Macaca mulatta: one gene and its partner. The protein of the gene in region 2 purifies or fractionates together with the protein of the main gene of each other region. This does not show direct contact. Links are inferred from orthologs where the notes say so. Each region holds a gene or a part of one and is shown on either strand. Other genes may lie near its edges.

Region 1 (3,749 bases), on a different chromosome or scaffold from region 2:
AAATCACTGTATCTCTAATAGATCCTTCTAGCAACACCTCTCTTTCCATCTCTCTAGAGAAAGGATAAATTTCACTACTATGCTATATGTCAGAAGTGCTTATCTTATTCTTATAATCATCAGCATGAAAATGAAGAAAAAAGCTTATCTAACCTTAGAGAAAAGAAACGTTCTACATTAAGAGCGCTTTGCTTTAAATTTATGATGTTTTACTTCCCTAATTCACCAATCTTACCAGGAATTTTAAAACATTCGTATCACCTCTTTAAATAAACCACAATGCCCACTAAAATTCAGTTTAGAACACTTCGCCTGGCAAATAACTCCTACAACTCAGCACCTTACATGTCTTATATTAGAAGGGAAAAATATGCAGGCAATAAAACTTCAGATACACATATGAAGCTCTTCAAGCACGGAACTATGTTTTCCTGTCCTGATTTCCAACACATTATTTCAAAATACATATTAACGTTAGACTAATTCTAAATGCTAAATACTACTACCCTGAGTATATATGCTAGATGAATATTACATAAATTAATGCATACAACATAGAAACAATAAATGCGCCAGGGGCGGTGGCTCACACCTGTAATCCCTGCACTTTGGGAGGCCGAGGCTGGCAGATTACCTGAGGCCAGGAGTTGGAGACCAGCCTGGCCAACATGGTGAAATCCCATCTCTACTAAAAATACAAAAATTAGCCAGATGTGGTGGTGCATGCCTGTAATCTCAGCTACTTGGGAGGCTGAGGCAAGGAAATCGCTTGCACCAGGGAAGCAGAGGTTGCAGTGAGCTGAGATCACACGACTGCACTCCAGCCTGGGTAATGCAGTGAGACTCCATCTCAAAAAAAAAAAAAAAAAAAAAAAATGCTAAATGCATATAAACCTGGAAAAGAAATCTGATGTCTTTACTCTTTAAAGCACTAAAGGATTGTCATACAATTCCAATCTGAATACTTTGGCCCTTGTGGCATCTCACCCCTGGAGAATCCAAGAACCAGCTAGTTTTCAGATTAGCAGACACCTCTGGAATAAACTTCAAACTAGCATGAGTTCCTTTTCATGTCAAGTGATGAAAGCAACATAAACGAAAGGAGAAAATGCAAAACGGACAAGGGGAAGAGAGAGCCAAGAAAGAGAAAAGCAAAATGGAAAAAGCATAAGCAAATGCAATTTTTCTATAACCCAGGGAGGGTAGGCGTGGGGAGGGGAGGGCATTTCCAACTTCCAAACTTCACAGCAAAATCTCATGCTTTTAGAACACACTCTGCGGAAAGTAAGAGATCCCACTCAAAGTGACTCGTAAATAGTGGGGCCTTAAGTCTTAGAAACAATACAAGACGGACAACTATGGCACTGGGACTTGACTGGAGATTAACTGCGGTTACTGAATAAGGGCACTTGACTTTAGCTTACCCTTCACCGTCTCCTCTCCTCCTCCTGGTTTGAGACTTAAGAGCCTGAAAAGACTACAACTTCCGAATTTTAGAAAGAATTTTACTTCAGCAAGTGGCTAAACTTAAGAGGTCTGGCAAGACCACCCTGACAGATTGCACCCTCCCACACCCACCAGAAAAAGTTATCATCCGGCCCCTGAACGATTCTTCTTGCTTCTAGTCTCTAGGTCTCAGTCTGGTATTAATAGAAATGTCTGGCAAACGCCTATTTTCTAAAAGCAACAAATTTGTTCCATTACGATCTTCTGTAATCTGATGTGAGCGGGTTGGCCCGGCTCCCTGGTGCGGCTCCCAGTGCCAGGAGGCCGCGGGTTCTAGCACCGGGGTCCTCAGTCCAGCCGACGTGCCCCGTTTCGGGAAGGCCTCCCTAAGAAACACGGCTACGGCTGGCGAAACTGGCACAAGTTCCCTTCCCATCTTTTCCCAAGTCGTGCTTCCCACGGCGTGCTGCCTCCAAAAAAGGAAGAAACCGGCCAAAAGGTTAGCTGTCGCTGGCTAGTATTTAGCATCGGAGCTTGTTTGCAAAACATCTGGGCACCAAAAAACCTAGCGTTACAGGAAACGCACAACCCTGAGTCCCGCAACCGAGATTTAGTTAGCGCCTACGGTAGCGAGGCCCGCGGTACCCCTGGACCCCCACCCCACCGCGGCGCCCGGCCCAGGAAGAGGGGAGGCCAGGTCACCTGGCCACCCCTAGCTATTACACGTTGACCCCAAGCCACTCCGGGGGCCACAGATGAGTGAGCAGACTAACAGGAAGGACAGGCGCGCGAACCCGACCGTCGACCCAGCGGGGACGCTAAGGGGAAACATGGGGGAGAGGCCCGGGGACGCCTGCTGGCTCCGGGACTGCTCCCCGCAGGCGGCGGCCCGAGATGGAGCTGCAGAGGCCATCTGGCGCGGAAGGCAGAAGCCGGCCCTCAGCCTCCCCGCCCTTCCTCCGCCTTCTCTCGCCCACATGCACAAGCTCCAGGCACGTTCCCGGGACCCGAAAAGGCAGAAGCCACTTCTTGGCCCGTTCCTCCTTCCCGGCGAGCATCCCCCGAGCGCCCCGCAGAGACACGTGGAGTCAGGGGGTGCGGGCTGGCGGGTTCCCTGGAGCTCCGGGACGCAGACTGCAGCGCCCGCCGCTCGCACTCACTTGCTGGCCGGAGCGGGGCTTGCCCTGAGGCGCTCTCCTGAAGAAGGAGGTCCTGGCGGTGAAGAAGAAGTCCTCGGCGTCCTCCTCCAGGCTGCTGTAGCCGCTGCTCATGCTGCCGGTCCCGTAGCGCCCGGGCGGCCTCCCGGGGGCGCAGGCGGCCAGGGAGGGGGTGCGGCGCCCGCCAGCCCCGCGAGGTTCCCGGCGCGCGGCCCCGGGCCGTCCTGCTGCAGCTGCGGCCGCCGCTCAATCAGGCGTCCCGGCCCCTCCCGTCGCCTCCCCGCCCGGCTCCAGGCGCGGCTCGGCCCCGGTGCGCCCTCGACCCCGCCTCCCTGGGCTCCGCCCCGGACGGGCGACCGGCCGAGCCCCACCCGGCGCGGGCCCGACCCTCCTCGCCCGCCCGCAGGTGGGGGGAGCCCGGCCCAGCCCGCCCCTTCCAGGCGCGCGGGTTTCTCCCGGCAGCGTCGCGGAACCCGGAAAGCCGGGCACTAGGGCTGCATCTGGTGGAGCTGTGCTCGGGTCGCTTCCTCAACCTCCCGGAAACTGCAAATTCCTCTGCGAGCCGTCCGCCCGCCCCCAGCCTTGCTGGCTCGAGTTTCGGAGAGGGCGGGGGCAGAGCGGGGAACTTTCTCTGCTGTCCACACCCTGCTCGTCCCCCTCCCAGGGTCCTGTGGGGGTGGGTGGGGGTGGGTGGGGGTTGCCCGGCCCTGTGGAAGGGCCCCCCACGTCCCACGGCTTCCTGCAGCCGTCCTGAACCCCAGCAGCTCGCCCCGCCTGGAGGATTTCAAGTTGGCAGAGATGGGTGCGGAGGTCAACAACTGGGTTGAGTTTATTCGAATGAAAACATCCTTTCTGGTCATTCATTTGAGCTTCGGTCTTATCCTTTTCCCCTTCTTTCTAGCGAGGGCTCACTTCCAGATAAGATCGTTATCTTAGGCGCACTCAGTGCAACTGAAGGGTGAACTAGTTCTATAGTTACAGAACAATCGAGTGCTTATTAATTAAATGTGCTTTGTAAATGTCCCCGCCACAATCAGCCTTCCACGGTCACCCACAGGCATGGTTTAAGTGGTGGGGATAAGGAGATCAGGGAATTCTATTCATCCACGTACAAAAAAAAAGTTTCCATGTTTTCTAAAATTCTTC
Region 2 (2,666 bases):
GGTCCCAATGCAATCATACAAATGTTCATTCGGCGTAAAAATGAATTTCTTTTTAATGGTTTTAATCTTTTTTTTTTTAATTTTTTTTCAGTCCCCAAGGCTTGTACCACTCAGTACAAATGTTTTTGCTACTGGGTTATCATCAGGCACATGATGTTTACCAATTCCCAGGAAATGAATAAAATCAACAGAAACATCCTGTGACAATAGAGCACATTTTCATAGAAATGAAATTGATGAGCTTATTACAGTTTGAATCAGTTCAGCTATTAGATCTACACATAAAACATAAAACAATATTAACAAGTTACATTTGTATTAAGTTTTTTTTAAAAAATATTTATCATACTTTTTTGTGCAAGGATTCCACTGATTTCTTTGGTTTTAAACACGATAGATCTATTTTACCTAAATATATATAGTTCTATTTGTACCAAACATCAAAAATCAAAAAATTAAACAAAATTTCAAAGGGTAAAAATGGAATTATTGCTTCGATATAAAAAAGGCCTAGCCCATTTGAGAACTATTGCCATTATTACTTTCCTACTGGAAAACTATCCTGGAAATCAAGGAATGTACCCCATAGCTCCCTGCAGAAAGTATAATTTGGTTGCACATTATCATCATATTAATATGACCCTATCTTCACCAAAGCTATCCTGATCTTGTCCTTAAAAAACAAAACAAAGCAAAATAGCATAAATAAATAAGTTTACCTAAGGGGATACAATAAATAGACTAGTATACTAGATAGGAATAAAGAATATTGTAACATAAAGCCCTTCAGTGCTGCACAATTAAACAATAGCTTTGGATTTTCAAGGTCTCTAAACGCAGCCTCCGTTTCAAAACACAGTTTTATTGCTGGTATGCAGCTGACAGAACAAGAGAATACACTTCTTTTGTTCTCCTCATCTGAAAGTGAATGCACAGCAGATACAACTGTCAATTCTGCCTTTTGGGAATTTACCTGGGCATGTACCATTGTCAGTTTTTGACCTCTGACTAATTGTAGGGCAAAATCTTAGGATTAAAAATATACAAATATTCCTTCAATTCCTAGTGGTTTCTTGGTCTCCAGAATAGTTAAAAACAGACAGGAAATTAGACTCAAAAGTTTTGCTGCCTTCTTTTTTTTGCATCCATCGCATCCAGAATGGGCTGTCTTTTCGCAGTGTATCTCTGACGAAGTTCTTCTATCTCCCGTTCCATCATAGGGTCCAGTGCTTTTAATCGCATCTGTAGTTCTTCTAAACTTAGATTTTTCAACTAGATATGGAAACAAACAAAGATATCAATATAGTGAAATTATCCACAACACATTAATGTCTAATGAGTTTTAACATAAATATTTCAGCAAATTCTTTACATCATCTTCGAAGTATGGTTCAACAATTAAAACAGGAATTTCTTCCTTGAAGAACCCAGAGGTCATATCTTGCAAGAACCTCAAGTAATCTGCAATGAAACAATCGGATCATCTGCCTTTAGTAAAGGGCAAATGAGAAAAATATGCTGATAGAATTTGTAAAAAGGTACAAAGACAAATCCACCCCCGCCAACAAACAGATTTTCAGAATACGTTCCAGGTATATTCACTCTAACTTCTTACATCTTTGCCAGCTACCGAGTGCTACAATAATAATGAACACTTGCAGAGATCACCCAAGAACATGACAAGACTGAATAAAGGTTAAATTAACCATTCTATCCTCCATTTTACCAAATGCTTAATAAAGAAGATGACTGTGGTAGGGGGTGGGAAGTAAGGCTGAATAGGCCTGGTGGGGCCCCAAAAGTAGGAAGCCATGATCAATTCTGGAGTAGGACAGTTATGTAAGAGTAATCCAGATTTTGTTTCTCCTTCTCCTTCTTCTTCTTTTTTATTTTTTTGAGACAAGATCCCACTATGTTGCCCAGGCTAGCCTCAAGCTTCTGGGCTCAAGAGATCCTCCTCCTTCGACCTCCTCAGTAGCTGGGATGTGCCACTGCACCCAGCTAAGGCTTGGTTTTAAAATGATAAAACTTGCAACTTACTTTTTGTTTTAAAAAGATAACTGTCTTTGGTTATTTTATGAGTCAAGGAAGAAAAATACTCATTACTTATAGTCATCCAAAGTAGCATGTCCCAGCAGATCCTTTTACTCGCCATCCCTGGCCCTATCGTGACTTCTGCTTCCAAAAACCAAATTCACTCTTAGCTGAAAAAGACTCTGAGGATACTGAAAAGAATGAGTCACAGACTCTTTGAAGGAAATTCAAAAAAGGAGTTCCAAAAATATTTTGAGAAATGACAGTATATGGAGAAGAGTATGCAGGCTTCCATGATGATGACTTTGAAGGTGAATGCCACTCACTTCAGTACATAAGAAGTTCTGGTATGTATATTAATAATCAGCCCTGTTACTTTGTAGTCATATGTCATGAAAGAACCTAGCTTTTAATATTATGCTATAAAAGATACATTTATATATAATATGTATTATTATACACTTTCTTCATTGACTTTTAATCCAAGTAGTGATCATGCATCTGTTACATGCTCAGTGCTGTTCAAATTGCTGCGGGGATACAGAATAAGACAAACAGGGAAACTCCAAACTTTGAACTGTACACATCAGTAATGGCCATACTGAAAGGCCAATGTATACCACACAACCACA

The links.
Region 1: the proteins of STK3 (region 2) and RASSF3 purify together in Homo sapiens (affinity purification with mass spectrometry; 4 studies listed by BioGRID and IntAct, with this or other methods). This does not show direct contact. The link is inferred for Macaca mulatta from reciprocal best matches to the Homo sapiens genes STK3 and RASSF3.

What each region holds. Positions count from the first base shown.
Region 1 is NC_133416.1:71,736,167-71,739,915, reverse strand, and holds the start of RASSF3 (ras association domain-containing protein 3), read right to left. Parts: upstream 2,856-3,749; 5' UTR 2,718-2,855; coding exon 2,607-2,717; intron 1-2,606.
Region 2 is NC_133413.1:108,839,415-108,842,080, forward strand, and holds the end of STK3 (serine/threonine-protein kinase 3), read right to left. Parts: intron 1,273-2,666; coding exon 1,114-1,272; 3' UTR 636-1,113; downstream 1-635. UniProt on the Homo sapiens protein: Stress-activated, pro-apoptotic kinase which, following caspase-cleavage, enters the nucleus and induces chromatin condensation followed by internucleosomal DNA fragmentation.